Linked DNA regions of Drosophila melanogaster. The protein of the gene in region 1 purifies or fractionates together with the protein of each later gene. This does not show direct contact. Each region holds a gene or a part of one and is shown on either strand. Other genes may lie near its edges. The genes, in order: snz, Cyp4e2, bgm and Gel.

Region 1 (8,693 bases):
TACTTTTTTCACTGTGACCGATAAGATCGTTCCCCACGCCCCATAAATCCACTGATAACCCACAGAACTATTGGCTAACTTTTTCGACTTTCAGTTGTCACCGGGTCGACCGATGGAATTGGCAAGGCCTACGCCAAGGAGGTATGTACACAAAGATGACATGGAAGGGCTGCCCCAATCTTGACCAGCGCAAGCAAAGTCCGTCCAAGCTCGACCGATGATTATAGTAAAATGGGAAACGGGTCAAGCAAACAAACAAACAAAAAACGATAGTAATAATGAGCAATTAGTAATTACTAATTACCGAATTGAGTGTCGCCCACGATGACTTGGACATTGGTTTAGCGGTCGCCAATGCATTAGCCAAGTGAATCTGCACTTTGAAATCGATCTTCAGTCAACAGTCCAGTCGCAAACAGTCCCTAATAGTGTTTGCTTGACTGCAAATCGCTACATTTGTACTTTTCGTTATTTATTTTTACAAAGTGCAATCGCAGTTGATTTTTCTACCTTTTGTGGTAATTTTTTTTTTTTTTTGCCAGTTTTATTTTGTAATACACAGACTTGGAGCAAACGAAGCTAGAAGCTATAGGGAACACGTGTCCCCTGAATGGCAATTACTTTATAGAGTGGAGCACAGGGCCCCGATCGAAGCTTGTGCCAAATTAGCATTCGGCGTGCGTCGAACGCACAGAAAATGGTTCAATGTTCACACCCAATTTCTATTCATATACACGCTTAGTACACTTAAATGACTTCCTGTTCTTAAAATCTACGGGTTACTCGTCTTTGAAACTCCTGCTTTAGGTAGAAACGTTCAGTGTTCCCATTCCAAAGCACCATTGCTTTTTATCTCTGACCTAAGAATTTACTATCCAAAAGTACGTAAATATGAGCAGGCTAATAAATATTTAATCACTTTCAGTTGGCTCGCAGGGGCTTGAAACTGGTGCTGATTAGTAGATCCCTGGAGAAACTGAATGTGGTGGCCAAGGAGATAGGTAAGTCTGCTCACTAAAATACAGTTAACAACTTCAACTAACAACTGCTCTTTGCGGTCTACTTTCAGGCGATAAATACGGTGTGGAGGTGCGTGTGATCGATGTGGACTTCACCGGCGGTGACGAGATCTACGATAAGATCCGCGAAAAGACCACTGGCCTCAATGTCGGAGTGCTGGTCAACAACGTGGGCATCAGCTACGGCCATCCCGAGTACTTTCTGGACTGCTACAAAGCCGATCCCCCATTCCTGCGCAACATTGTGGCTGCCAATATCCACTCGGTGACGCACATGACCGCACTTTTTCTACCCGGCATGATTAGCCAGCGACGTGGTGTGATCATAAATGTATCGTCCACCGCCGGAGTCATTCCTAATCCGCTGCTGAGCGTGTACAGTTCCACCAAGGTGAGTGGATATCATCAGAAGTGATAGAAGGCTAATTACTAATACCTATAATTTGCAGGCCTTTGTGAACAAATTCAGTGATGACCTGCAGACGGAGTACAAGGAGCACGGCATCCTCATCCAGAGCGTCCAGCCGGGCTTTGTGGCCACAAATATGTCTAAGATCCGAAAGGCTAGCGTGTTTGCTCCCTCGCCGGAAACGTATGTCCGCTCGGCGCTGTCCACCCTGGGCATTGCCACCCAGACGGCGGGCTATCTGCCGCATGCTCTACTCCAGCTGGTCATCCACTTCACGGAGGCGGTGTTCGGCGAACAGTTCGCACGCAACATCGTTATGAAGAACATCCTGGGCACCCGGAAACGTGCCCTGCGCCGCCTGGCCAAGGAACAGTAGATTATTGAGGATGAATACGGCGGAGGAGGCATTTAATGGGAATCGGTTGGGATGATGAGTGGGTCAGTTGGGTTGTGGGGAAAATCCGGCTAGTCAAATAGCTTACGTAATTACCGCGTGTCATACGAATCCACAAACAGATAGCTTGAAATACCAAAAAAAAAAACATTTTTCCGAAATAAACTAAGTTTAGTTAGTTTTTGTCATTAATTAGCATTGAAGATTCGCAAACAGCCATGTCATGTAAACAATAAAAAATGTGTTACTAGATATATGTATATATCTAGTTTCCAATGATAAATAACGCCTTTTATTTGCAGTCCTTTATTTTGTATTTAACTTCTTATTTGTTCTTGCTAGCGATTTTTCTTTTTCCCTATGATTTTTCATGTTTTTCGGATCCAATTTGAATTTGAATTGGATGTGTCGATAACGGCAATAGCTATCGATTGGTCATCGATAGGCGCGCCCTTCGGCTAATCGGCGAGATGGGAATGACAGAAAGAGATACAACACTTCGCGCAGGGCGAAGAAGCAAAGCAAAGGGCAAAATTCATAAACATAACAGTAAAGATAGTGTATAGCCGGGCGTGAAATGTAATGAATCGGATTCATGACGTGACGTGTTATCAGGGCCAGCCCAATCCCAACTGCGCAGCAGCAGCGACAGCAACAACAATAACAACAACACATCAAGCTGAATCGAAGGAGCGTGTAATCAGTAATCAGAGTCGCTTGTTTTGATTTCCTTTCCTCGGAAACGAATCAACACGAAACGAGACGAGACGATTCGAAACGAAATGAAATCAAAACTCCGCTCCGGATAAAGCTGGTCAAACCAATCAACTTGTTGCGGATCCGCAGCGTCGCCCAGTATTGATTTGGCGCATATTGCCGACAGTTGTGGTTCCGATTTCGATTCCCAGCCAGCTGTCTCTCTGCCCATATATTTCAATATACGACGGACGCTTCTCCAAAAGCCGATACAATACTGTGCGATACCATATTTGTATTCGTTTCTCATTCGTTGACGGGCGAGGCGGTGGAGGCGGCGGTGGAGGTTAAGAAGAAGAAGGAGAGGTCGTCGACAACGGAGCAGTAGAAGAAGGAGGAGGTGGTGGACACCAGACCAAAGCGGAATTGACGCAATTGTTGAGAACTATTTTTAATGGTCAGCGGGTCGAAAATGTACAAAACTCATCAAATATTCAGAAGAAGTAGGCAATAAGGTGAGGAGGCAGTGATTCGGAAGTCCCGAATCGAAGTCAATCGGCCGATGGAATCAGAGGAGCACGCTGTGGACGCCATGGAGAATCGCCGTTTGCCACTGTTTCCCATCGAACCGGAGCCATCCGTAACGGCAACGCAACGCCTAACGCTCCTTGCCACCCGGTAAGTCCATACAAATAATGTCCAATCAAATACATATATTGGATACAGACTAGCCCTGAAATCCCTTACAGACTACTACGTGCATTGCAATTAAATTGGAGGATTATTGTTTCGGGCATCACGCTTACATTGCTGGCCGTCATCTGGTATTATCCCACCTTCTTTCTGTTCTTCGCCTTTGTGGTCTATTCCCTGGTCTTGGTTTTTGCGGGTAAGTCTTCCGCTTTCGTTCCAGGGCGTTTTCTAATGGAATGATGGCAAATGAGTCACCATATCGGGCGCAATCAGTTCCGAACGAGCGCCTAATTAAAAATGCCAAATATCTAATTGCCCTTATCTCGCCGACAGCTGTGGCGGGAACCGTCTATATCCATTATATATTCACCACCAACGAGCCGACGCCACCAAGTCGCGTGCCCTCGCGATTGCTCTACAATGCCACCAAGTGAGTAGCGGACTTTGTTCTATATGATATATATGTATATATCTCTATCTCCATTGACCCGCAGAAGCAACATCTTCGATCTACCCAAGCCCATCAAGAATCCATCGAATTTGCCCCTGATTTTCGGCAAAACAGTGGACCTGCAGCTCCAGCAGATCATTGAATATGTGCTGCGCGATTTTATGCTGCCCTGGTTGGGCTACGTGGTCACCAAGCCCAAGCTGATCAACGATGTGGTGCGCGAAGATCTGTGGAACGCGATACAGAAGATCCATGAGCGCGCCCTCAGAATGGACGCCGCCAAGATCATAGCCGTGGACATGGTCAACCGGGTGACAGTGCATCTGGAGAAGATTCGCATCGCTGAGGCCAGAGCGTAAGTACTTCACTTTAACCTGGCTTAGTATCCACAAAATTAAACTTTTTAAATAAATAGATATATATTAGTAATGAACAGAGTAGGTCAAAAACCTTTCCAGATAAGTAATGTATAGCAAAGATATCGGATTAATCCAATACATTTTTTTGATTGCGCTCAAACAAAGAAATGCATAGAGGATGATTGTGATTGGATATAAAAGATACAATGTGCAATTCGACTCTTTGTTTAATACCTTTACTCTCTAATGCTTTGGGCCACAATAAGTTGTTGTTTATCTTTGCGTGAAAAAATGCAGTGAACAGAATTAAATGTAATTTATATGCCTCAGAGAATGGCCATCAATCCCAAATCATTAAATTGGTAATCAATAAGCAGAAAGGCAACAGCTGCGATTACTTTGCATTCCATTGTTCAACGATTCAGATCTATAATAAATATATGTATTCCTCTTTTTAGAGCTGAAACCAACACGCCGCCAGTTTTTAGTACAAACTCGTACCTCGCCGACGAGGAGAAGGAGATGGAGTTCCTGCGCAAGCTTTGCGAGATTATGGTGATCCTGCTGCTGCCACGCGGTTATTCCCTGCCCCCATTGAAGGTCTTGCTCAGCGAGATTCTCTCCTACAAGAGTAAGAACCATTGCCGCTTAATAAACGACACGTTTTACTTAGTATCCTGTCCGCAGTTTTCTTTCCGATGATCAAAATGCTGACAGCACCGGACTACATCAACCAGAAGGTGGTCCAAAACATTGAAACTCGCTTGGCAGCGGCGGCCATGAGCAAGAGAAGCTACGAGTATGCAGCCAGCTTCGAGGATTTCCTCAAAATCATCAACAACTCGGGCAACCTCGAGGAGCTCTCGCTCATCCGCAAGAGCATAGTAAACGATCTGATGCATGCTACTACCATGCAGAATCTACAGCGTGCCAAAGGCCTCGATCCGGATCACGAGGACCACTCGCTCTCCAAGTCGGAGCTCACAGCCGCCGTCCGACTGAAGCGCTACGTACGCCAACTCACAATGGCCAAGGGCGAGTGCGAGAAGAATCTGGCCAAGTTCGGCTGGAATGGCAATTACTCGAGTGATATTGTAATTAAACTTTAGCATTCCCCATATCCACAACACTGATAAACTCAATTATTATTTGCAGGACCTAACACTGGTCGAGATCCTAAACACTGCGGTTGGCCGGCGCTACTTCACCCTGTTCCTGGAGCCGCTGAAGGCTAGCGCTCTGATTGGTTTCTACCTGGCCGTGGAGGAGATCAAGCACGCGCACAAGTCGGCCAGCCATCAGCTGGGCACGGAGATCTTTTACACCTACATCAGAGTGCCCAAGTCAGAGATCCAGATTGACAAGCACGAACGCAAACTGATCGAGACGTTCCTGCTGGGAGATGCCGAGCCTGACATCTTCTATGACATCCAGCGCAATGTACTACGCACGCTGGAGGAAAAGTACTATCCGCCATTTGTGCTCAGCGATCAATATCGTCAGTTGAAGGAGGCATTGGACTCCAATGAGATTGCAGATCCCACGCTGCTAATGTGTCACACCATTGGCGATGTACAGGAGCCGCTGGCGGATGAGCAACCGGGCGCGGCGGATGGACTAAATGGCGGAGCTGGTGGTGCCATCGATGTGGCCGCCCACACATCCTATGCACGACGAAAATTGGAACAAATACAGGAACGGATTGATAAAAAGAATCAGGCGCTGGACGCCCTCAAATATTCCGTGAAGCCGGAGTCCAAGGTGCTGACCATTCTCGAAAAGGAGATGGAGTGGCTGAAGAGCGAGAAGCGACAGACAGAGGCGCATTTGCGTCGCACGGACGCCTGGACAGAGCATCTGGGCAAGTGGAAGGCTACCATCCAAAGTGTAGAGGTCAGTGCTCCATCCCTGAGTGATTTTATCAGCCATCTTCAATTTTTTTTTTTTTTTTGCATCTTTTAGGTCTCCGATGAGAAAGAGTCCTTGCAGTTTATGATCTTGGTTCATGTGGACGAGGATATTAATGCCCCAGTACAACCGACTTCATCCAAAAACGGTGACAGCGGCCATGCCAATCTACGTAAGCGACCGTCGGGCATTTCCAGTGGTTGGGTAGTAATGCGCTCCCTTAATCAAGTCCATGTGTGTATTCCCTTTAAGATTCTATAGATCACTCTCACTAACATTTTGGTTATTTGTGAAGGAACTACAACGGAAGCTGAGACACGTGAGCTCTAACCTGAAGGCCATCGACCTGCCTACGAACTTTAAGTTCTTTTTTCTGAAAACAGATCGTCATGGTCAGGAAAAGGCCAAGTCACAGATTCAGAAGTTCTTGAATGTAAGTTTAATTTTTTCTTTTACACCATAGATAAGTTTGTGATTCCATACTTTTTGGCCACTTAGTTTATCCTGGAGGACGATCATTTGAATGGCAGCGAGGCCATCTACACGTTTCTTAGCCCAAGTTCCGACCACCTGAAACAATCGCTGCCCTCGCCAAAGAAGTCCAAATTCTCGCTATCTACGCTATTCCGCAGCGATGCTGGCAAAGCTCACGAGGCCAGCAAGGCAACCGATCCGTTTTGGGGTCTGCAGCGCGATGACGAGGATATATCTACCTATTTAGACGGCGAGTCCGGCGGTGAGGCTAAAATGCTAGCAGCGGATCTGGATAGCAAGGATTCGATAGCAGAACCGATGTACGCTCTAATGGGCGAAATCTTTGACATGGGCGGAGTTTTCAAGTGGTTGCGTAAGAGTCTCATCTCGTTTGTGCAGATCACATACGGCCGTACGATCAATCGACAGATCCGCGAATCGGTGGCCTATCTCTTTGAGGAGTCTATGCTGCACAACTACTTTTCGGCCATCCTCAAGTCATTTTGGCCAGGCGGAGTTCTTGCCTCCGCCTATCCGACGCGATCGGAGGATATGCGCGAAATGACCACCACGGCGGCCAAGGCCCTGCTCACCGATCACATACCGGAGGTACTGTGCAACCTGGTCGGTGCACAGGCTGCCAAACGGGGTGTCCTTAAGGTTTTCGATGCCCTGCAGAATCCCGCCTACAACAAGCAGCTATTCTACGTGAGTAGTGGTTTCAGTGGTCATATAGCCAAATATACAATTGGTATCTCTAATCTTCAGGAGCTGCTGGAGATACTTATGATTGAGTTCTTTCCTGAAATCCGACAATTGCGCGTCAGCAACTCCAATGGAACCAAGTTAAATACGGCTACTGCTGGAGCGGCAGCTGCATCCGCCGCTGCGGCACTGGTGGCTGCCACGGCATCAGCTTCGCTGCCCTCGCTTAATCATAGTGGTGGGGGTCACAGTGCATCCACGGGGGGTCACCAAAACCATCAGGGATCCTCGTCGGCCAGCGGATCCTCAGCTGGCGCGAGTGGCGCCACCGGTGGTGGTGCCGCCTCGCACCACCAATCGCATTACCACCACGGATCCCACCACCACCAGCAGCAGCAGCACCACCATTCGCAAGCGGGCAGTTCGAAGTGAAGTGAACTTAAGAAGAACCACTTCGTTTTAGATTTTACTTTAACCTAAACCCTTTTTTTTATTTATGTTATGTTTTGTTTGATTTTATGTTCAATGTTTAATGCTCTCCCTCTTTCTAACCGGTGGATATTGTTGATTTAGCCGAGGAAAGGGATTACAAAGAATAGTTATGTAGAACACAACACAACTCAGTAGTACCAGTATCATTCCCTGTACAAATGCAGACTTACAATCCATATGAATTCAGTTCTTGTTGATTCGTTCGTCCATCACTTCCTGTAGCCAGATTTGTTTGTTATGTGTATATGTCTGTACATAGGTCAGTATTAAGCGTTGTACCAAATCGTTGTTTATATACTCGTATAGTAAATTGTGACACTCAGTTTGGATTGATTTTAATTATAGTTTAGTAGCAGATATTGAGCCCAAAGTTGCGTCTGCAGCTGGCGTTGAGTCGGTGCTTGTGATTCCCATGCCGCGCCAGCTGTAGATCCATCCTCCCCCCAAAAATATTATAGAAACACAACAGGTGAGATTAGTTTGAGGCAAGCTAATGGGCGTCCAGAACAGTGCGTTCCATGGCCATAAAGCAACTTCCGTATTGACACACATTGTATTCTTTTTCGAATTTGTATTAAAATGATTCAATTGTTGCACATCGATAACCATCAATTAAAAATTGTATTTGAAATTTCCTAATTGACCAAAATTGGTAATGGTATCAAATAATCTTAAAGACTAAGCGTTGATTGAGGCTGTCTTAAAAAACAGAACGTTTGATAACACAATAAAACAGTCGCAAGTCAGGACTTTAAAGAAGCATTAATCCTTAAGCATTTGTGGTTATCCAAATGCATTTTGATACCATGTTAAAACACACAACTCGAAATTACAACATTTAGAATTGACCCAAAATCAGTTTTGTGGACCTGAAACGCCCCGTAGACACCCACCCACCACCACCACGACCCAAAGACACCGGCACCTTCTGTAACACTAGGCAAAATGACACTTAGATGATTCATCCCCAATGAGCCAAACGTATCCCACTTAGGACCCACATTAAGAGTTTCGAGGCGCTTTCAATCTATTTATGTATTGCAGTTGTACACTTTTATGTGAAAATGCGAAATAAAGATCGCTATTTATGTAG
Region 2 (5,637 bases), on another chromosome or scaffold:
ATAATGTGCCTCTTCCTGGAAATCGAAGATGTTGCCTCCGTCTGCCACCTTCTTCAGCTGATCTATGAACTTGGTGGAGTTCTCGTTCATGACCTCGTGAAAGTCCTGCAGGATGTTGAAGTGGAAGGCTGGGGTTATCATCTTCCGGTGTTTGTGCCATTTGCTGCCAGTACTGGTGAGGAGGCCCAATCCCAGCCATGGGTGAGTAAGATCATATACATCGGACTTGGATATCAGAGTTTGACTGCTAAGTATAAACTGCGCAAAAGCTGCATTGTTACCATCCTCGCCTTAGCGTTATTAACATGTCACACTCACCTCCATGTATTTGGGATTAGTGACCATAATATTGGAGTAGTAACCTATCCAATAACGAAAGTTATCCTTGCCGTACTCATGCCACCAGCCAAAAAACCGGTTCAAAATCTCTGGAGAGCAAAGTTAAAACATATCATTACTTGCTCTACAATTAGATAGAAGCCATAGTCTTTAATACAGCAAAAAACGACGGATGAATTCCCTGACGAAGATTTGTTAAGTTAATCCCATTGATCGGTACTGCAGTGACCTTTAGTATATTTAGTCTCAGTGTTATCATTCGTACACAACTGTTATGTGATCAGTCACACCTATCGAGCGATGTTATCTAGAGGGGACTTTGATCCCACACATTGAGATTGTCTAGATGGAGCACCTACCTGTGGGAGTGTTTCCCATCTGATGAGCATTGCCCACCAAAGGCAGCATACTTGGGCCTTGGAATTTGTTCAGCATTCGCTTTCGCCGCAGTAGTCCAAGCTCGAAATAGGTCACCAAGAACAGTGGAAGGGCAAGAAAAGCGCACAGTACGATCCACATTTTGAATGCGACCACAGACAACCGATCGGTGCAGCGAGTAAATCGGATTTGAGTAGAAACCTCAAGACTCTCTGCGTCAGTACTTCAACCGGTTGCGGCAGACAGTTCTCAGTCTCTCGCGCTTGGATATACATCCACACATAAGAAGCAGCCTATGACTATCTCCCAAATTTTAAACTAATATATGGGCACTCAGCATGACCTTCTATATGCTGCGACTAAGTTTCTTGATGAACATTTCTCTTGAAAATGGCTTACACGTGTGGAAACTATAATTTCAAATTTTTTAAGCTAATTAACATAGTCTCAATGGTTCAAAGATTAAAACGAGTTGATTTGTTTCAAAAGTTTTATGTGTTGTATGAGACAAAGTGATTAACAGCTTCCTAATAATTGTATCTGTGGGGACGGCATACCTAAAAAAACACAGGTATGCAAAATTAAAGCACCAAACTTAACAGAGATCAATAAATTGACATTTTAGTGCCTTTCCTTCAGCCGAATGTATAGACCATTTTCGGATTTCAGGGTCAGCACAGCGGAAAGAATAGGGTCGTATTTGTGACGGTATGGATCGCGCTTCTTCCTCTCGGCATCAGGGAGTCCAATAGTGGTGCTTATATAGCCATCCTTAGAGACGAGCTCATCCAGAGCAGGAAGCACCTCGAAGTTCCTAATGATCTTGGATACCACAGTCTTAATCTCCAGCAGGGCGAACTTCTGACCAATGCAGTTTCGGGGTCCAGCGCTGAAGGGTACATACTCAAAAGGTCCTGGTTTCTCCAGCTCAAAGCGCTCAGGTCGGAACTTGTGGGGATCTTTGAACACCTTTTCGTTATAACCCAGCATCACGAGACCCAGGTTCAGTGTGGTGCCCTTGGGTACGAGATCCCCATCTATAAGCAAGTATGGTACTGTTATGTAAAGCTCTTTAAATTGCTTTAATTAATGGTTACCTATAACATAGTCTTTCTCCGTAAATCGTCCAATGAAAGGCACGCTGGGATAAACACGCTGGGCCTCCTTGATAAAGAGATCCAAGTACTTCATTTGGGATATTTCCTGGAAGGTGGCATCGCGACCCAGTTCGGAATTACCCATTACTTCGCGTTGCTCCTTAAATAGTTTGCGCTATAATAGCAAGGGAAGTTAGTCATTTAAAGATTTGGCGTCTCAAGCAATGTACTGAACCTGTTCATCTTGATGTCTAGAAAGCAAATAGACAGCGAACGACACTCCAGAAGTGGTAGTATCATGTCCTTCAAACATAAATGTGGAGACCTCTTCGTACAGTTCCTTGGAGTTCAGGGGACGACCATCAATAGTGGAGGACAGCAGAGTGTCTAAAAAGGCCATTTTCTTGCGAGTGAACTCATCTCCCGCGTTGGTCGAAACTGCACCCGATTTGTGGGCTTCAATGCGCTTAGCGATGATCTCGTTGGTAAAGTCCTGCAGTGTTTTTAGAGTCCTGCTATAGGCCGGGTAGTCCGGAGCCAAACGATACAGCAGTTCATTGCGCTTCAGCGGGTGGAAGGCTCTCATGTTGATGTTGTAGCACATGCTGAAAAGGATCAAGAGTCATGCAATCTGATAGTTCGACTACGAGGTACGAAACTAACTCTTTGAAGGCCTGCACAATGGAAGAGCTGCGGTTTTCCATGGCATTGATGGACACACCCATCGCTGTGTCGCAAATGACATCCAGGGTCAAATAGTGGGCCTGTTCTTGGAAGTCGAATATATTGTCCCCGGCAGCAACTGTCTTTAAGTGCTTGATAAACTTGGTGGAGTTCTCGTTCATCACCTCGTGGAAGTCCTGCAGGATGTTGAAGTGGAATGCTGGGGTGATCATCTTGCGGTGTTTATGCCATTTGCTGCCAGTACTGGTGAGGAGACCTAATCCCAGCCAAGGGTGTGTTAGTTGATAAATGTCGGACTTTGTGATCAGCGTCTGACTGCTGAGTATGAACTGAAGAAGTACGAAAATAATAGAGTCACATGATTACATGATTGGTGGAAATTCGCTGTAACTCACTTCAAGGTACTTGGAGCTGGTGACCAATACATTAGAATACGTTCCAATCCAAAAGACGAAGTTGTCTTTTCCATACTGATGCCACCAGGAGAAAACCGTGTCGAGTATTTCTATATAGACGTGAGAAAATGCCATTAGTAGGCGGATCGCGTACCAATATCGGTATTCCGTAGATAATCATTGCTTGTTTTTGGCACGCGATTTTCAGTATTCATTAGTGCAGTATAATACATACATACATACATCGTATATTACACAACACAAATCAAAGCCTCGTCATTATTTTTGCGATACTCGACCTAGGCTACGATTAGCCCATTTCTACAAGTGCCAGTAGCCCCATTATCTGATAGTTAACACCCTTGTTTTCCGGTCGTAAAGTCGCTGGCCCAAAATAACCTTACTTGAATAGCCTCGCCGCTGAGTAGATTCGATGCGCAGTTACCTCAGTCACAACGCTATTCGAGATGGGTAATTTCAGGTGTGTCCTCTGCGTGGCTAACGCTACGACTTTTCCGGCTCCTATGAAAAACCCACCTGACGGATTCTTGCCCATTTGATGAGCGTTTCCCATCAGCGGCAGGCCGCGGGGGCCGTTGAACTTGTTAAGCACTCTTCTCCGGCGGAATGTGCTCAACTCCAGATATGCAACCAGCAGCAGTGGTAGGGCCAGAAAAATATACAACACGAACCACATTTTCGATCGCGAGTTCCACGACAACCGTCCAGCCCGCGAATCACTGGAAATATGAGAGCTTATTTGGGCCGGCGGGCGGTTTAAATACGAGAGATACCAATATCAGCCAGCTCCCCAGTCGCTTGCTCCCTTATCTGCCGTTTTCCTAATCCAACTGTAGTCTCCCGAATATAAGTATATATTTTGGTGCTTTCAGCATGACTTGCCGAATCAATATCAGGTTTTTTAAGATGAGCCCCCTGATTAATCGTTAGATGAGATGGAGAACCAATAGTTTTCGAGACTGCGCTTAAATGTGTAACAGTTAACTTTTTTTAAAACTGTATCCAGTATATATTGTTTTATGGCAGCAAAAAATGGAATAAAACAAAACGTTGATAAACATTCGCTCACAACAAGAAAGAGAAATCGGGAGAATTGATGAACACATTATGTTTGCAAAATGTTTTTAAGATTACTCTTACAGAAATTGAAGAGAAGAGAGAGAAAGTCGCTTGCTCTTCTTAGCTTATCAGCAGCAAGACTTAAATTTGGTAGAAATCACAGACGTAAGGTAAAATCCACTGCAAATTTAAATTTACATTTACATTTAAGAAATGATATCAGCACAGTGTGCGTTTATTTTTCGATTATTCTGTTCCGCTCCGTCACGTTTTGAGTTACATATGTAAATAGAAGCAATCTTTTTGGAAGAGTTTTATAGAGATAGTTTTAGAACTGAGAGACGCACATGGCTATATCGATATAATATCAGTCAATAAAACATGATACTGATCAAGAATATATATACTTTATATTCTCGCTGCAAAATTCGAACTTAAGCCAAACACGAAAAACGTTTTAAAAGAAATCCAATTTTTTACATTGTCTCTGCATCATGACTTGTAGTATGATAAAAGCATTATAAAAGCATATGGGAAATGCATTCTTTCGTAAAAATATGCTTTCGGAAACGAGTTAATTTGTGAATTTACATCAAAATGAATAGCTTTGAAGATAAATCTAGTGGAAGAGAAGAAAATGTTAAAAAGCGGCATTATTCTGTTCGTTGTTCTTCCGTTATCAGCACAATGCTATATATTTTTCAAGAAAACGCTGTTATGTATAATTACATTATATATATATATGTTATATTTATATTTGCTAAAGCAAATAAATTACTTTGGACGGCATTCCACCTAGTGACTAATCGCACTAGGAGTGTGTGCGAATGCGACTGCTATATGTACATATATATATACACAATTAAATGATAAGTTCTGTAGTTGTACGAACTTAAGAAATGTTTATACTTATGTATATGGTAATTCTTAATTTTTTGTCCTATTTTGAAAAAAAAAAACTATTTAAACTTATTCGTTTTAAAATTCAATGCTGTGTAGCTATTAAAATTCCTTATTAATATTAAAATTTTTTTAAATGCATTAATAAATTGAAAAGTCATGATCGTCTGGTAAGTATAAATATAAATATAAACACCAATCAAATTTTTTTTTAAATTTATATGTATTTAGTTGTTAATATCAATCTTTTTACCACACACCTTTTCAATTTGATTGCTTTTCCAAAAGTTATCTATTTTGTGTTTACTATGTTGAACAAACAGCTTATCGTGCCGTTGTTAATCCCTCAATCAAAAGTGTCCCTATTAATAATTATTGCGTGTCAAAAATTATGGCTACCGCCCTAATTCATTATCACGAAGCGACTAACAATCGTTTATTGGCCCCAAATCTTCTGGCGATACCAAAAGGCCTTTAGACCTACACGTCATCAGTTTAGTGAGTCAATTCCCACTAGGTAGTCCACAATAGTTATATTTATCAATTACCGACGGCAATAAAGTACTATGTTAATAGTACATCGATTGCAAGCAACAAACAAAAAATAAAATGCATAAAGTTCAGATAAGCTATCGAAGGCATAATCGGGCGAAAATTGGTCACCGACTAATCTGCGAATGTTACGGCAAACCACAGTCTGTGCGGCATTGCGAGCGAGAACAGTTGGGCGGCATCATGTTTCTAATAGCCATTGCCATTATTTT
Region 3 (8,856 bases), on another chromosome or scaffold:
TGCTCTTCAGACAATAAACAATTTTCGTTTGTTCAGTTGGTACAACCAAATAGTATATAAAAAATAAAACTTAGTTACTAATTAAATGATCTCTGGACCTAATCGTTGGCAAGCTCGTGTCTACCTAGGCATAGGGCCATAGTTGTTCTTAGTTTAATATCCAACAGTTAACATCAGCCTAAATCAAATTAAAAGTGGCACTCAATTGGCTTGGAAGTCCGTTAAATTCAAATTCACATTAAAGCTCAAGTTCCGCGGCTATCATCGGTTTCGATCTTGCAGTGAGAAATCTAGGCATATAGTTTCTCGATCTCATCGGCATACATCTTGGACACAACGTTGCGCTTAACCTTTAGGGTGGGTCCAAGTTCGCCGGTGGGAATGGAGAAGTCGTGCGGCAGAATGGTGAACTTCTGAACCTTTTGGGCATTGGAAATGGACTGCTTGTTGGCCCGCTTAATGGCATCCTCGATGGACTTCCACACCTTGGGGCAGGGACCTGCGGCCAGGATATCCGATACGGTCTTGTGCTCCACTCCCAGCGATTTCACCCACACGGAGGACTCGTGGCTAAGCTCGTCCAGCGGCTCACCGGAATCCTTGTCCACTTCGGTCTGGAAATCAAAAAACAATTAAATACTTTCCAACCAATTGGATTCGATTGAAGACTCACCTTTAGGGTGATCAGAACAGTGAGATATTTGCGCTGCTCGCCCACCAAAAAGGCATTGGAAATGGCATCCAGCTCCTTCTTGATCGTGTTCTCGATGTGCACTGGCGGTATGTTCTCGCCGCCGGCGGTAATGATGATCTCCTTGGATCGTCCCGTCAGTGAAACATAACCCTTGTCATCCACAAATCCCAAATCACCGGAATGCAGCCAGCAGTCGTCATCCAGCGACTCCTCGGTCTTCTCCTTGTTGTCGATGTAGCCCATGAAAACGTGACGTCCTCGGATGCACAGCTCTCCGTGACCGTTGGCATCCTTGTTGATGAACTTGGACTCGCAGCCGGGCAAAGTTTTGCCGATTGTGTTCAGACCCACGGAATCGGGAAGGCAGATGGTGTGACAACCGGCCGTTTCTGACATGCCGAAGGCATCGACAATCTTTAGGTCCAGACTGAGGAAGTACTTCTTCGTCTCCGGCGACATGGGAGCTGCCGCACTGGCCAGTGTAAGGACGCGATCGAAGCCCAGGGCCTGCTTCACCTTGGACATGATGAGCGACTTGGCAATCTTGTACCGGAATCCCCCGGAGCTCTTGCTGCGAGAAGTTGTGTTCAAAAAGTTTAATTAGCTTTGTTGCCTGATGAGTTTTTGTTCAAGGTTTGGGGTTAGCTATTGTGGGTATGTGTAATGGAATGTGTGGTGTTTGCGAATTAGTCGCACATCAATAAACAAAGGATTACAAAATGCACCTGCAATAGCATGATGCCAATTAGTCGTTCGAATTCGTCTAACTATTTTCTGTCAGCAATAAATTCTATTAGTTATTAATAAATAGTTTGTAAAATTGCGAAAGCTTTCGTTTTAAATTTCCCTCAATTACTTTTAATTTTCGCTTGATTTTGGACCGCCTGCTGGGTTTCCCAATGCTCCAGTCACTGCAAAAGTATCTGCACTTAAACGAAACTCCCTATTAGTTCTACACTTCTCCCTTGAAGTTCTCTCCATTCACCCGCTTTTACTTAAGAGGACGTGCCCGCATGGCGTGTCCTGGCTCTGCTCCTAGTCGTGGTCCTGTTCCTCGTGCATTTTCTATTTTCTGGTACATACCACCAGCAGCAGGAGCAGCAGCAACAGCAGCGGGAGCTGTTCCACGTGACGTATGAGTAATGTTGTTGTCAGTGATTTTCGCTTTAAGAAGCGCTGTCGGCCCGCTTGGCTTGCATAATTTAGCGGACACCGAAACTCGGCACACATGTACACAGAAAAAAAAAAAATGTTGCCAAGTGAAGTAACAATTTTTACGAGCACACTAAACTAAACCAGCTAAACCAATTTGTTTTCTAGTATTTTTCTTTTCCTTTTAAAAGGCGCTTTTTTCAATATAATGATTAATGGCCCTCAATGGCTTCCTTGGCCAGGAAGCTGGCCGAAAAGCTGGGTGAACCATGTAAAATGCAGGGAATGGGAGTTTGCGAGTGGAATTCTGTCGTTGCAGCCACTTTAACTGTGCATCCTTTTTACATAATTTATGCGCACACAAAGTCGAAGTTGAAGTATTTAAAGAAGAGAGGCCTCATCGGGGGAATACTTACCCTTGACTCACCATGTAGTGCTTCAGCGTGATGCCCTTGGCCCAGCTGGCGAGCATCTTCTTCAGGCTGCCGCTGGAGCTGGCCACGGCGACCATTCGCTCCTGGAACTTCTCGTACACACGCGGCACGCCCATGAATCGCGTGGGTCGCGCATCCTGCAACGACTTCACCAGCGTTCCCTTCAGCGCATCCTTGTCGGCGAACCAAATGCAGCCCGCCACAAAGGCGCAGGTGTAAATGTCCACGGTCTGGGCGGCCACGTGCGAAAGTGGCAGGTAGGAGACGATCGACTCCGCCCCAACCACCACACGGTCCATGGCCTTGACGATGCCGCGCACATCGAAGGTGATGTTGTCGTGGGAGAGCATCACGCCCTTGGGCATGCCCACCGTTCCGGAGGTGTAGACCAGGCAGCAGCACTCGTTGATCGCCACATTCTCCAAACGGGTCATGTACTGATCCTCCACGTCGCTAACGTTCATCGACTCGATCTCCGACCACTGAGGATGATGAGTTACAAAATTAGATATATCCTAGACTTTTTAGGGTTCCTCACTCACCCTGTAGTAGCCATCCTCCTTCTTCAAGTAGGGGGAATAGGGCTCCTGGATCTGAATGGCGGCCTTGAGCTTGGGCAGCTTGTCGCGAATGGCGTGAATCTTGTCCATTTGCTTGGCGTCGTCGACGACCACGATTTGGGCATGTGAGCTCTCCAGAACGTGCTGCACTGCATCGGCGGAATTGGTGGTGTAGATTCCGGCGATGATGCCTCGTGCGTGAATGGCGCCCATGGCCGAGTAGAACCATTCGGCGCAATTGAAGGCCAGCACACCCACCGAATGGTGCTCCTCCAGACCGAGCTTAATGAACGCCTTGGCCACCTGGTGCACCTTCTGCTCATATTGTCTGCGGATGATGGCAGGCAAAATAATTCGGTTAGCGGTTAAGTGAATCGCGCGCAAATTGGCAATTGGCCAGCAATTCGATTAGCGGTGGTACTCACTTGTAGGTGACAGTGTGATATCCGTTCTTGCCGTTCTTGGTGCGCAGCGCAGGATAGTCGCCATAATTGTTGACCGTACGCTTCAGCAGGCCGGGCACGGAGATGGGCTCCTCTGCGCCGATTCCATCCTTGGCCATACGAATCTTGACGGCATCCTGACGATTGGTGGTGCGATAGGCATCCGCCTGCCGCAGGCGGTTGGGCCCAGGACGATTGTAGAGCGCGTCTATCGTGGACATGTTGCAAGGCTGTTAATGCGGATTGGAAATCAATTACTTTAATTTGAAGTGATTTAACTGAAGTAATTAAAGCTGCACTACGATTATTCCTATTGTTAGTGTTTATCCTTTTCAAATTCGCTGAAGATCAACTTTGAAATTATCACGATGATTAATCAAAAATTATGGAAATTGCCTTGTCGAATAGAATCATACGATCTATGACTAAAGTACGTCCAAATATTTTCTGTTTTGGCCAACCAAGATAAGACGCACACTCCAGTTGGCCTATGTCAAGGCTTCCGTGAAAAGTTTTTTCTTATCGTACGCGTATAATTTGGCACCTGATTATAAGGTATAAGGTGGTAACAACCAATGTCAAGGTGGGAAAAATATTTGTAGGAAAAGACGAAAAGCATGAGGAGATATGTTGAATGAGTTTGTCTGGGCCGTAGAAAACACCACGATTGGCTTATCACAATTACCAACTACTATTTCGCATTTTATGCTATAATAACTTATCAGGCGCAGTCGCTTATCAAATTCGAGGTAAGTGAGAAGTTGTGGCTATTCAACGCAATGGTAAGTTCTTTGAATGAGTTTTATTTTCGCGGTGCAAAGGCCAAGAATCGTAATTCTTGATATCTACAATAATGCTTGCTTGTTTAACTTGCAGCTTTTCGTTTTTTATTAATCAATAAATTCTGGTCAACTAAGCATTGATATCAAATCAAGAATGAAGGAACCCAACAGCTGACATAATAGTCAGCTGAGTCCAAAGGGTCAGCAAATAAATTACCTTCTATGACATGAGGCAAAAGTATAATTATTAGATAAACGGGAAATTTGCGATGATTTTACCGATTTCAGATTGATTGGCATAGACATCGCGCAGATAATTGACAGTTAAATTGTGCTTTAAGTTTTGAATTGATTCAAACGGAAAGAGCCGAGGGCAACGCATTATCAGGTTAATGGAAGTGCGTCTTCCACACTTTTTTCTTTGTTTTTGACAAATATGGGAGGTACCAAAGACATTAGCATAGTTTGCTTGAAAATCATAAATCATAAATGGCAAATAAATAGCAGTGTCTGCTGCTGATAATAATTCAAAGTACTTAAAGTGGCGGCGCACGCATTCGGGGCATGAAAATGAGTCAGTAGATTTTTGCTACCAACTAAACTCGTAGTCTAGCGTTATACAAACCAAGCTACTTTTGATACCCAATGAAGAGAACTACTACTACCAAAGCGGAAAGCCCGCTTTATTTATCAACTTCTAATAGCGTTAAGAATGTTGTTTGCCATTTGTTCTTGTGATCCAAAATGAGCTGAACGGGAATCTAACGTGGAGGGAACTACAAAAACCGGCCTGTCGATAAGAAAGATTGGAATGGAAATCGAATTTAAGCCAAACGTACTCGAAATATTTCGCGACACACAGAAAAGTGGGGTAAAAACAAAACTGATAATGGGGGGCGCACAGCATCTAAAAATATTTGACAACTATATTCAATCGGTGCTTTCGCTCTCCCAACGAAAGACATTTCGAAAGTTAAAGGGAGATAGATGAAAGAGAGTGAGCCGAAAATGGGAGAAGCGAAAATCCAGCACGAACGAGCGTGATGTAAAAGAGGCTCGATCGATGGATGGATGGATGGATGGATGGAGATGGCAAGGTGAAAAAGAAATTGGGAAGTTCGTGCGGCGAATTGAAAACAGTGCGAAATCGGGCGATGATGACAATGAACCCGCCGAAAAAGTGCACTGACCCACAAATTAGATTTAGACAATGCGAGCGCACGTGTTGCCCGGAAGTGGCAACAACAACTATCCAATCAAAATAAATTTCAATTGTTCAATCTACTTTGCCTACTGTTTTCTCGCTGGCAAACTTACATAATTAACTAGTTTGGTGTTTCTACGGCGTTCTCGATATATGTATGTATATATTTGTTCTTTGGTCACGCAAATCGATTGCCGTCTATTTTCTATACTCCCACTCTTTCTTTCGCTCGAGAACCACGACAGCAAACACGACCGAATTCAGCGAAGGCAAAGCGTGAACTGAACGCCGTTCAGGATCGGATGCTATAGAGAAGCCTCTGCCGGCGGGGCAACCGATCGCTCTGCCAGCGTCTGCGTTGGCATCGGCATCGATATGGGTGCTACCTGGTACTGATACCCTCTTATCAGCAGCATGCGATCGGCGTGCTTGCTCCCTCTCCTCCACCCTTTCGAGTGTGAATAGAACAGCACATCTCTTCTTATCGAACGGGCAATTAAAACTTATCAGTGGGGCGTGGTGGGAATCTTGCAATGGATGTGTAATAACACCAATCTCGTAATCCTATCAGTAGTAACGCGATCTCATAGGGGATCATTTTCTATAAGTGGTGGTACTTAAAAATAGCGTAGAAAACTAGCATATCTTCTAGTTATTGTTTATAGTTTAATTACTGAGGCAATTATTTTCCTAACTTAGCAAGGCTCTATAACATATTTTATGTATTTTTTATAATATTTTTAAACAAATACCCTTTTGTAGCGACACAACTGATAACTGATTAGCAATTACGCATTAAAATAATATTCTGAAATTCCCATCGTTGAATTTCAATAACCTTCAGACTTCAGACGGCATTTGAACATTGAATTAAAACAAATGTTGTATTTACCTGTGCTACCATTTTGAAATATTCTCCGTTGAGATCCTTTTGAATGCTTATCACAAATGGGCTTGGCTATAAACAAAATTTTCAAACCAAACAGGTGTTCAATCAAATATAGACTGCTGAAAATTTGCCAAGTCAAGCTCTTTTATTTTAGTGGTGGGAGGTGGCAGATAGCTGACATTCCGGGAAAGTAAAAAAGATAAGTAGTATAAGTAAATTAATTAAAAAAAAAAAAGAAGAGAAAAACAGCAGATGCAGAACCATAAGCCGTGAATAGCCAGATTATAATAGCTCAGTGATTCACAGAAATTAACCAAATATTTAGTGAATTATTCAAGGGTTTAATAAAGGCTGATATTGGTAACGCGTCAGCGGCAAATATTACGGCTATATAAACAATAGAGAGATTCTCGTATCGATTTCGACTGTTGCCAATGGGGTTGATGGTTCTTTACCATTTGGGGTGGCATTTTGGGGTATTGTTATAGCTCTTATCGAACGACACAAGCTGGAAAACGGTTTATGATCTGATAAACACGGGTACACTTGACCATTTAACTGCTGCCACAAATACAATATATACTATATATAAAGCGGCAATTCCCTTTTAAATTTATGCCACATCCGTGGAAATATGTATGTACATAGTTCCATCCATCCAATGGTTCAACTTTGCCTGAATTTCATATGGTTGTTTGGTCACGGTTCTAATACAACGCTGATTATCCCATGAAATCGACGGTTATCTGCAAACGATTAGATAGTATAGCTCCCGGTTCGTATAAATCACAGTTAGCTAGGATCTCCCCGATTAAAATGTCAATGGGATTGTGCGACTATTATCTACACTCGAATCTCTTCCAACTAATCGCCACTTGCAGTTCTCTATGATGTACGTATGTATGTACATACATACAATATAGATTGTATTTAAAACATTTGATCTTGAGTGCAGCCTTATCGAGAACAAGCTAACGCATTAGGCGATAATACTTATGAATTATTTTTAAAAAGCATCCCCTATGTGCGAGTCGATTCTTCTCGGTTGGTTATCAGCCAAGCAGAGCGTGTGCGCAAATTCGCGTGGCTCCAGCTCACCTGTGGGTCACCTCACTTCCTCAGATTGATAACTGAATTATTATGCCACAAGATGACAAAGTGAAAAACAAAATCTAAACAAATTTTAGCAGGCAATTCAACATTTAAGCTCTTTAAGCCATGTTATAAGTTTAAAAGATATTTAATCATTTTATTTATAATTCTGCAGCAGCTCAATTTATAAAATTTCTAAACTAAAATTAAATTTGTGATTAAAATTCATGCTTGCAGTTGGCTGCTTACTTTTTGAACAGACTGTGCAAGCTTTACAAGCTTTGCAAGCTGCATAAGCTTTACTGTTTAGCCAAGTTCGGAACCTGCGGAAAACTTTACAGAGCTTTTCCCACTTGTGTAAAACGTATGTAAAATAAAATATCTTTTCCTCGCAGTAGAAAGCAAATGAAATCTAAAGTTAAATCTGCTGCAATGGTAATTCGATTGACTATCGCCATTTATTCTGACAACAGACGAGCATAAAGCGAGCATCTATCATTGAACTGTCCCTCGGATTTTATGCGCAACAATATGGCAACATAATCCGATGAGCTCTGATTTCGATGTCATGTTAATGAGATTGTCATCGTCAAAGTTGGCAACGAATTAAGTTACGAAGCTCTACTTATTTACGTCCATTCAACCCCCCACCCCCCTCTACTAACTAAATACATGCAAATGATGTGATAATAACGTTGGTAATGGAATGGGTGTCTCAAAAGGGGAGTTTCCCTTCAAACATATATGTACATATGTACATATATGTATATTGCAGATTAAGGGGGTTATTTAAAAATAACGCTTAAGTCCATTTAAGCAAGAGGTAAGCAGAGCAATGAACGTGTCCGCACATTTAAACAAGTCCTGTCCATTGGAATGAGTCCTTCGAGTGGCGAAGGGCTGAAATGGTTGGGTTAGCATTACAAGTGTTTGGCTAATTAACTCTGGCTAATTGTGCGACAGCAGCAACAAAGAGACAGGATCACAAACAACGCCAGACAAACGAAAGTGAACTGCACATAATTGACCTGACACGCCCCCCGGCACAAAAAAAAAAAAAACCAAACAAAGGAAGTCTAAGGAAATTTAGAAGGCAAAAACTACGATTAAGTTATTATCCAGAGCTTGCAGTGAAAATTTTCAAATATATCGCTATTTAAATATGTCATTTTGCTAATATTAAAGATATAAATACATATTACATTACATGTATAGAATATATATGTAAATATCTAATAATAAAAATAGTTTTCTAATTCGTAACAAATTAATAATTAGATTGCTTTTACCTTATATAACTATAACTATCTATTATAAGACTAAATTTCTATAGATTTAGCGGTATAAAAGCTCTTTCATTCTCTTGTAAGATCACCGATTTCAAGTGTGCCAATTTTCGTTGGACTTTCACCTGGTTCTATGGTGTAATGGTTAGCACTTTGGACTCTGAATCCAGCGATCCGAGTTCAAATCTCGGTAGAACCTTTGAGGAACTCGCTTTTTTATTTGTAACTCTTTTTTATTTTTAGTTCAATTGGTGGCTTAAAAAATCATTGCTTTCCTCAAATTGACCGACCAAATCCGCAACGGCTGTCTTTGGCCAACG
Region 4 (8,759 bases), on another chromosome or scaffold:
TGAGCATGCCAGTTAGCCCCCTGACCCCCAGTCCCGTGACTGTAATTTTCCTCTTAGGGCGCCCCCCAAGTGGGTTCGCATCGGGGACCTTGACCTGGCCTCCGAGAAGCGGTCGGTGGAGGCCCAGCTGCTTCGGATTGAGCAAGTGTTCGCGCACCCAAATTACAAAAAAAAGATGTACTATGACGACATAGCCCTACTTAAGCTGGAGAAGGAAGTGGAGTGGGTACCCAACAAGACAGAAGTGCGACCGCTGTTTGCTAACACGATTCTCTAAGACTGACGGAATACGTTAGACCTGTCCGCCTGTGGGTCTTTCCAGAGCTGCCCACTACGATAGCCTTCGCAATGGGGTACGGCGCAACGAGCTTCGCCAAGCCCATGACGAACCGCCTCACAAATCTTAACCTGACCGTAGTGCCGAACGCTGAGTGCAACGCCGAGCTGCCGCCTCTTGCTGAAACTCCCAGTGGAGTTCTGGAAAGCCAGATCTGCGCCCAGGACTACATTCTCAACAGAGACACTTGCCAGGGGGACTCGGGTGGACCCCTACAACTGAATTTGCCGGGTCGGCGCCGAGGGCATAGAATACACTATCACCTAATTGGCATCACCTCATACGGCGTGTTCTGCCGCAGTAGTTACCCATCAGTTTACACCAGAGTGTCTTCTTTCTTGGACTGGATCGAACTTACTGTTTGGGCCTGACAGATGCCTACATCAGGTTTGTATGATGTTGATGAAATTTAAGCCAAAATATATATTAAAAGAAATGGTATATTCTTTCCATTTATATTTCGATTCTTCCTATGGCATCTGTGTGTATGTATATGGACCAATCTAGCCCAACAACTATTTTCACAGGAGATATTTAAATACATTGCTACAACATTACACTAGTGAATTGTAAAAATAAATTGTGCTAAACAGTGGCCATATTGAAATTTATTTTAAAGTTATATTAGATAAACATAGGTGTTAGAAAGGCAAAAACAAACATATTTTTTGGTAAATTTTGCTGAGAATTGAATCATTGGTTTTAGACTTCATTGTTGGCATCAATAACAAGTTGCTTCATGTCTTCATAGCTGGGCTGGTTCTACGAGACCAAGAAAAGGGTTAAAAATACATAGAAATTATATAAATCTATTGTGTAGCGACTTTACAATTAAGAGAATAGGCCATCAGCATTAGTAATCAGCTTACTGTACAAGCAAGCAGTTAAACGAAGACAAACTCTAGGTCTGGTTTGGATCACGTACCTGCCAATAATTATCGTCCCAGTTGGGGAACATGCGTTTGAAAACCCTTGGTTCCTTGCCCTGGGGGACGCGAATGATGCTCACCGTGTCGAAGGAGCGGGCGGTAGGCTCTAAATTAAAGTAAAGCTGTAAATCAAGAAAAGACGTATAATTAGACGTGATAGAAAGCGATGGTGGGAAACGAGAAAACCTTTGCCGTGTCCAGAAGCTTCCCATTTTCCTCCTCAGACACGCCATAGCCAACCCAAAGGTAGATCTCATCGCCAGCATCCAGTAGCATTATGTCGTCCGAGTCCAAGTCCTCTTGCTCGTATTGAGCAACTTCTTCAACCTTCAAAAATCCACCAGAGCTCAGATGACAGTGGAAAAGGCGCGACTCCAGCAGTGGAGCTCCATCGTCACCCAAGCTGCGGTCGTACTGGCCTTCGCCGTTTAATTCCTCCCAGAACTCATCTGGCTCGGCACCCTCCTCCACCTGCTCGAGCTCAACGTCGTCCCAGTAGTCAGAAAAGCGATCAACCGCTGCTTGTTTTTCGAAGGCAGATGCGCCCAAGCCATTCCAAATGTAGATTTTGTGGGACTTTCCCGAATGAAGGACGAAGGCATCACTTGAGGCCAAAGATGAGCTGTCGGCGGCCACCTCACTAGCATGAACATCACTTTCGACGGTGCCGCGAATGCGGAAAAGCTGCGCCGTCACCGGAAGTGCAGTAAAGGATGTTAATAACTTCCCCTTAAATATCTTGTAGAAGTGGCGCGGCTCGTGGCCCTGATTGGTCTGGACAAGAAGACCATCCTTGGAACCTACTAGACCCTCCTCAAAAGCACGTTTCCTAGCGGCAGCAGAGGCCTTTACTCCATGCCACACATAGGTTAGAGAACCAGTGTCCCCGTTGTTAGCCTCGTAGTTGTAAGTGAGCACATAAGAGGCAAATCCCAAAAGAGGAAGTTTCTCATCGAAGGGAACGGTGCTGACCACGATCTCATCGGAACCAGGCTTTGCAACGTACTGTGTGATGGTTTCAATAACGTTCTGACCGTGATCCGGCATGAACCCAAAGGCACGACCACCGCTCTTCTTTAGCTGAGTCACCACGGAGTCGATTTCGTCATCGTTTAATAATTCATCGGAGCCGATACCCAGAGCCGAGCGAATAAGGCGACTATGGGACATTCCAGCATCACGCCAGGTGTCAAAGTACTGCTTAAATGGGGCGGACTCGGAGCCCTCTACGATGCGGTGAATTTGGGTCCAGGCCGGGTACTTCTTGGTGCGTAGGAACTCCTGCGCCTTGGCCATGGCGTCCGTCTTCTCCTTCTGAGTGGCGCCTTTTCCGACCCACACAAAAATGCCAGATCCAGTATCCAAAATAAAGCACTCGCGAGTGTCGAGCATAGCCTGAGTGAGTGGTTTTTGTCCAATGATGTCCACCTTCAGCTTGCCGCTGGCGTCGCTGACCTTGTAGAGAGAAACCGCTGCGGCATCTGTCCTCTCGAAGGCACTATCTTCGTCAGCAGTTGACTCATCGGGCACCTGGTCAGCAGAGCCCGATCCCAGCACGTCGAAGAAGTGCTGCTTATCGGCATCAGTGCTGAAGTCGTCGACGATCTGAACACGGGCTCGTCCGTTATGATCCTGGTCCCTGATCTGGTTTGCAGCGCTGATAGCCTTTAGCTTCTCAACGCGCTTGGCCTGGGAGCCTACGTAGACATATATATCGCTGCCGGCATCCAAAATAAAGCAATCACCCGTGTTCATCGACGACACGGAAAGATTCACCTGTCGGACGCGCACGTTTCGCTTGCCCTTGACCTGGAATAGTCGTGTTTCTCCTTGGGCGTTTGTCTCTACATGCTTGAAGCCAGTTCCGACGCCGCCCTGTTCATAGCGAATGCCTACAACAACATTCAGTTTAATGAAACGTCCAAATCGGTTTGACTACTTTTACCGTTTTTGAAATAGCTCAGAAACAGCTGGGACTCGTGGTCCTGCACCTCGCGATGTTGAACAGGGCCACCATTCAGCAAGTCATCCAACTGGACGGTGAGAATAGCTGCAGCTCCGGCCTCATCGGTCGAGGTCTCCAATCCCAGCCAGAAGTGCACATCCCAAGACAGTTTTTTGTCTTTCTTGTTTTCAATTGTCTAAATGAACATAATGATTCGATTTTGGAAAAGTTTATGTGAGGTATTGCAGAAAAATGTAAAGTTTATTACTAAGCTAAGCACAGATGCCTTTTTACATGACTTTGACAAGGTTAAAACCTTCCAGTTGCTAACCAAGCAGTTCACTCCACGCGTTTAATTAAAACTTTAACAATTCAAATGCATACTTACATTAAGAACAATAAACGAGTCCCCAGTGTAAAATTTGCCGTAGTTAGTTTTGGGATATATAACGGGCTCAAAATTCTGAAAAGATAAAAAAAACTATTACCTGATTTCCAGAGAAGATAATTTCCAAAAATGTCTGACTGTTTGGTATAAACATTTATTCTGGTCATCGCCTGATTGTACACAAACGCATCGCATCTCGAACCTAATAAATTTGGCCGATGTTGGAGTTAATTAACAAGAAGGATCAGACGTCTAATGTATACAAGCAATTTCCATATATCTTCTCGGGAAAGATACATTATGTATGTATATTTATAAACACATGGCCGCCACACTGCCCGAATTCCAGAATAGAAGCAAATGTCTGCCGATCTCGAGCTGGCGCGTATCGGGCGCCATCCCTCCGCCTTCGTACCCTTCTCTCCCAGCCTTCTGGGTGCCACTGCATAAGCACCGCACCTATCCCATCGATGTCAGCGCGATCTGCTCCTTACTTACGCTTATTTATTCTATTCCCCGTACCCGGCAAGAGAACAACTAAATCCCAAAATCTGACTCACCTCGATGCGCCAGATTTCCAGGCCGGGAGTACGGCCGGCGTTGGCGAAGGAAGGATGCATCACGCGTCTGGCTGCCTGCTTGCTGTTCTGGCCGCTGGGCTGAATTTCGCCGGATTGTACGGGAAACGCAGGACGGGCGTTGAGGGTGCCGGCTGAGCACAGACTGGACGAGAGGGCCAAAAACACAAGCAGGCTGAAAGAGACAAGCAAAAAGCTATTATGGCAGCTTAATTGACCAAAGATAACAGAACTACTCTAAAAAAATATATATTCCACTAAAGGACTCTTGCGAGTCTATGAGGGTTTTCTCTTGATTAGTATCACCAACAAGTTGTTATAGCCACGTCCGTTTCTCAGCCCGACGCAAAATAGTTTATCAGTTTTTATTCTATCCAAATGATGCGTTCCGAAAAGTCTTCTTTGCAATGCAGGTAGGGTATCACAAAATTTGATATTAAACAGGTGTTTTCTTCGATAGTTCTTTAGTAAACACAACCGAAACTATATTTTTTGAACCAGAAAGATTTCAGTCTGCTACACGAAAGCGACTTTTCTTTTGGATAATACAGGTTTCAGGGAAAAAGGACAATAGGTGGATATGGCTTACAACATTCAGGCACTCTATTCACAATTACGCGCAACTCCAACTGATACACCGCTCTGTAGGGTGTTCAAGACATGAAATTGTGCTCTCTCTCAGCGCAATTAAACTAGATACACCTAAATAGTACATCCGACTGTTTATATGTGAGTCATGACCATAAAAGGCCACAAACTAGGCACACCACAACTGCCACATGGGGCAAACCTGGCGAAACCTAGAAATGAACACAAAAGTCGGGTGTTGAATCACACCGCAGCCACTTTTACGCACTTACTCTATTTGAAACGGCTGTTTTCTCGAATTGGTGTTAGCGATGTCGCGTACGACTGCTAAAGTTTTGTTAAAATTCAGGAACTGAGTACTTATCACCCCAGAGCTTTCTGGACAGCGAACTGCTCGCTTGCATTACCTGGAGAGGACTGCCATTGTGGCGGCGCCGGAGGCATCCATTTCGAGTCTGCCTCTTCTCTGGTCGACGACCGAGGGTTCCGAGGAGCTTTGTTTATTGTTGCGATAAGTATCTGTGAGTCGCAAATAGCGTATATGCCCGATGTGTTTGGGTACGCGATCTTTTGTATTGGCCTTTATTTTTGTCGTAGCGTTGGTTTCTAGTTCAAACAGCGGCAGTTGCTCTTCCAGATTTAAGCAGAGTGTGTGGAAACTGCAAGTAAGAGAATCATCAGGGCAATAAGAGAAGGAAAGATGTTAATATTTTCGAACGAATCGCTGAGCACTGATGTTTAACCGCCAACAAGTACGCGTATGTTATATACAGCCACCCAGAAAACAACGTCTTTAAATAATAATAATTGTCTTCAACAATAAGAGCTTCCCCAAACTCGTTTAAGCTAAACTTCCTGATGGATTTCTTAAATGTGAGTTGTAGAATGCTAAATGATACTTAATATTTCCCGAAAAGTTGTTCTGCTCACCAGCTCCTCTCTTGTATGATATCATGTTTGTATCTCGAGTGCGCTGCTTGATCAGAGCATAATGTTAAGGAGAGCAAAAAAAAAGTGCCGCAAGCGTGTAATCGCATATTGTCATTCAGTTAATTAGTTTCACCTGCGTATGAGATCACGACTGTTTTCGTCAAGCGGCAAGCCCATTTGGCCCTTCCTTGCAACTGGGTCACAGCCAAAAAAAAAGAAATCAGTTTTTATTGAGAACTCAGTATGGGATGGAATCATATAAGATTTTTAAATTATGTCGGCAAGCACATTAGTTCCAATTTGTAAAGGCTTGGGAGCCAGTCAGGAGTACGTCATACGTACTTCGAAATGATACCTATTTGAAATGAAAGTGATGGGCCACAGCATGTTCGGAATAATATTCCGAAGCCGGCCATAAGTTGGACCAGCTTGAATTGGTTGGATAAAGGCAGTTACCCATTTTCCAGTGCCAAAATCATACAAACGGATTCTTGGACAAACCGCGCGCATGGGTAACATTTAAACATTCAAATGTGTATCCAATTATTCAAATCCAATCCAAATGCCAATGAAGTTGGGGATAATTTAACGGAGATAAATTAACCAAATTTTGTAGGTACCATCAATTTAATTTGATCATATTATACAGTGTTATGAATTTATTTTTTCAAGAACACACAGCTTGGTAAAAAGCTAGTGGCTTATCTAATATAAAACCGACCTCAGTTCCGATGATTGTTTTCAAAGCAGTAGATAAGACAAATCAACGACCAATTTAACGAAATGAACTCAGCAAAATAATAGCTTTGAAAGTTGTTAATGTCTATATAATCAGCCTTCAATTGAAATCATTTAGGCTAGTCTGAATTTTACTTTATACTAGAGTAACCTACTATTCTGGGCGATGTTATTACATATTGCTGATAAAACATCATTTAATTTTTGGGGCACACTTACTTGTAAGTCAATACGATCTGCGCAATTTCTCACGATCCCAGTGCGATGATTGAATAAAAGCGCTTCGAACGACAAGCATGCAGAGCTCTGCCTCAGACACTAAACGAAAGCCAAAGCTCGTCTTCGCTTTTATAATATTTTTCTTAAGCCCGAAACGCGCGCGCGTCCGGCCGAGATCGCTCTCTGGGGTTGCTGGGACGATTGATAAGCAAAGCTTCGTGCGATAAGCAGCAAACTGAACTTAAAACAGAGTGAAAATAAATTTAAAAGTTCCCAGAAAAGTATGTATGTATACTAATCTATTTATTACTATTTTAATTTGGTGGTGGTAGTGGTTTAGTAATCCGCAGCGGTGTTAGATAGGTAGTCGCGACGTCCTATGTTTGAAGCTTGCTTGTTCTGAACAGCCTCAAGTTTTGGGCACTCCGTGATGCGATGGCCCAGACCACCACAGTAGGTGCAGCCATGCGAGTCACCCAGGTCCAGGTGCTGGTGTTCGGTCTCAGGTGCCAGTTCGTCCAAGAAGTCCGGGACCTCTTGCTTGCCCTCGATTAGCAGGTGCTTCAGGTCGAGCAGAACCGACTGCTCGGTAGTCTTGTTTATCAGCGTCGTAGCCAATCCCTTAGTGTTGGAACGACCTGTGCGGCCAATACGATGCACATAGTTTTCAATATCGTCCGGCATGTCGTAGTTAATAACGTGTTGCACGTTAGGGAAGTCCAGGCCCTTCGATGCCACGTCGGTGGCCACCAGCACATCTTTTTTGCCCACGCGGTAAGCATCGACTGCCCGCGATCGTTCTTCCTGATCCTTTCCGCCGTGAATAGCCACCGCCTCCACGCCTTTCAACAGCAGATACTCATGTATGCAGTCTACATCCTGCTTCTTCTCAGCAAAAATGAGCACGGGCGGCGCGGTCTTCTGTAGGCAGTCCAGCAAATATACCACCTTTGCCTCTTGCTTAACGTACTCAACCTGTTGGGTGACGTTCATTGACGCAGCACCTGCGCGACCCACATTTATTGTGACAGGCTTCACGAGAGCTGATCGAGCAAAGTTCTGGATCTTTTTTGGCATGGTGGCAGAGAATAAAAGTGTCTGTCGCTGGCCTTTGAAGAAAGAGAATATCGTACGAACGTCCTCTTCAAATCCCATGTCAATCATGCGGTCAGCCTCGTCCATGCACAAGTACCGGCACATGTCCAGCGTAAGGATCTTCTTGTCCAGCATATCCATTAGACGACCAGGGGTCGCCACCACAATATGTACGCCGCGTGAGATGACGTCAAGGGCCTCGCTGACCGGCAAACCACCCATGGCCAGGCAGGAACGAATCTCAGGCATTCCGCATGCCTGGAGGTGCTTGCTGTAGTGTTGAATTATCTCGTGTGTTTGCTTGGCCAGTTCGCGGGACGGGCAAATGATCAGGCCGTAGGGGCCCTCGTTACGCTCAAAAGGCAGACTATACTCCTGTTCCAGGGCAAACATGATGACTGGCAGCACGAAGACAAGCGTTTTTCCAGACCCAGTGAAGGCTATTCCAATTAGGTCGCGGCCGGCTAGTACAGTGGGCAGGCCTTGCACTTGGATTGGGGTCGGGTTCTTAATGCCTTTGGCCGCTAAGCCGTTAAGTATACCTTTAGGGAACTTCATTTCCCGGAAGCTGCGAATTGGCGGGCTGGGGGTTTCTCCCTCCACTAGGATCCTCAACTCGTGGCGAACGGCCTCGCGCTCTTCCTCCGACATTTCCCGAATGTAACGCGGCGGTTTCCAAGCTGTTTTAATAGGCTGCTCGTACTGAATCCCCTTCGCCAACTCTGCCACACCCATAAGGGCCTTCTGCTGAGCAATGCTCTCCATAATCTTTTCCTCCTCTCGCAGCTGCTTTTCGACGGCACTCAACTTTTTGGCCTCGGCAATTTTCTTCAGTTCTGTGTGCTGGTCCAGCAGACTAATGTTGTACTTGCGTCCCCAGGTCTCGACATCGTGCGCACCCTGCGAGTCGTCTTCATTCTCATTCTCGCTTGACGACTTGGGCTGGGCCGTTTCCGAAACCAGTTGCACGATCCTGCCCAGCTTTATCATGTGCTGCTTCTTCCGCTCCTTC

The links.
Region 2: the proteins of snz (region 1) and Cyp4e2 purify together in Drosophila melanogaster (affinity purification with mass spectrometry, with the first as the bait; one study listed by BioGRID). This does not show direct contact.
Region 3: the proteins of snz (region 1) and bgm purify together in Drosophila melanogaster (affinity purification with mass spectrometry, with the first as the bait; one study listed by BioGRID). This does not show direct contact.
Region 4: the proteins of snz (region 1) and Gel purify together in Drosophila melanogaster (affinity purification with mass spectrometry, with the first as the bait; one study listed by BioGRID). This does not show direct contact.

Annotation. Positions count from the first base shown.
Region 1 is NC_004354.4:7,909,784-7,918,476, forward strand, and holds snz (snazarus), read left to right. Parts: upstream 1-2,305; 5' UTR 2,306-3,080; coding exon 3,081-3,196; intron 3,197-3,267; coding exon 3,268-3,407; intron 3,408-3,544; coding exon 3,545-3,641; intron 3,642-3,705; coding exon 3,706-4,017; intron 4,018-4,479; coding exon 4,480-4,652; intron 4,653-4,708; coding exon 4,709-5,115; intron 5,116-5,176; coding exon 5,177-5,914; intron 5,915-5,983; coding exon 5,984-6,163; intron 6,164-6,224; coding exon 6,225-6,362; intron 6,363-6,427; coding exon 6,428-7,111; intron 7,112-7,171; coding exon 7,172-7,540; 3' UTR 7,541-8,661; downstream 8,662-8,693. Other genes in the region: spidey, read left to right, coding at 95-141, 926-1,001, 1,070-1,410, 1,469-1,804.
Region 2 is NT_033778.4:8,442,724-8,448,360, reverse strand, and holds Cyp4e2 (cytochrome P450 4e2), read right to left. Parts: upstream 3,802-5,637; 5' UTR 3,688-3,801; intron 3,651-3,687; exon of another isoform or gene 3,634-3,650; 5' UTR 3,591-3,633; coding exon 3,431-3,590; intron 3,380-3,430; exon of another isoform or gene 3,280-3,379; intron 3,004-3,279; coding exon 2,894-3,003; intron 2,828-2,893; coding exon 2,478-2,827; intron 2,420-2,477; coding exon 2,050-2,419; intron 1,990-2,049; coding exon 1,815-1,989; intron 1,755-1,814; coding exon 1,339-1,754; 3' UTR 1,197-1,338; downstream 1-1,196. Other genes in the region: Cyp4e1 (cytochrome P450 4e1), read right to left, coding at 1-258, 319-428, 699-858; Cyp4ad1 (cytochrome P450 4ad1), read left to right, coding at 5,609-5,637. UniProt on the Drosophila melanogaster protein: May be involved in the metabolism of insect hormones and in the breakdown of synthetic insecticides.
Region 3 is NT_033779.5:14,010,444-14,019,299, reverse strand, and holds the start of bgm (bubblegum), read right to left. Parts: upstream 6,297-8,856; 5' UTR 6,162-6,296; intron 5,555-6,161; exon of another isoform or gene 5,383-5,554; intron 3,514-5,382; 5' UTR 3,505-3,513; coding exon 3,266-3,504; intron 3,169-3,265; coding exon 2,823-3,168; intron 2,763-2,822; coding exon 2,263-2,762; intron 1,266-2,262; coding exon 674-1,265; intron 615-673; coding exon 291-614; 3' UTR 1-290. UniProt on the Drosophila melanogaster protein: Mediates activation of long-chain fatty acids for both synthesis of cellular lipids, and degradation via beta-oxidation. Probably by regulating lipid storage and catabolism, plays a role in neuronal function.
Region 4 is NT_033777.3:4,233,218-4,241,976, reverse strand, and holds Gel (gelsolin), read right to left. Parts: upstream 6,761-8,759; 5' UTR 6,653-6,760; exon of another isoform or gene 6,368-6,652; intron 6,308-6,367; exon of another isoform or gene 6,004-6,307; intron 5,890-6,003; 5' UTR 5,829-5,889; exon of another isoform or gene 5,696-5,828; intron 5,425-5,695; 5' UTR 5,214-5,424; coding exon 5,173-5,213; exon of another isoform or gene 5,038-5,172; intron 4,978-5,037; exon of another isoform or gene 4,772-4,977; coding exon of another isoform or gene 4,767-4,771; intron 4,353-4,766; coding exon 4,160-4,352; intron 3,675-4,159; coding exon 3,600-3,674; intron 3,408-3,599; coding exon 3,212-3,407; intron 3,159-3,211; coding exon 1,453-3,158; intron 1,389-1,452; coding exon 1,263-1,388; intron 1,100-1,262; coding exon 1,040-1,099; 3' UTR 920-1,039; downstream 1-919. Other genes in the region: CG14642 (uncharacterized protein), read left to right, coding at 58-222, 279-708; abs (abstrakt), read right to left, coding at 6,989-8,759. UniProt on the Drosophila melanogaster protein: Calcium-regulated, actin-modulating protein that binds to the plus (or barbed) ends of actin monomers or filaments, preventing monomer exchange (end-blocking or capping).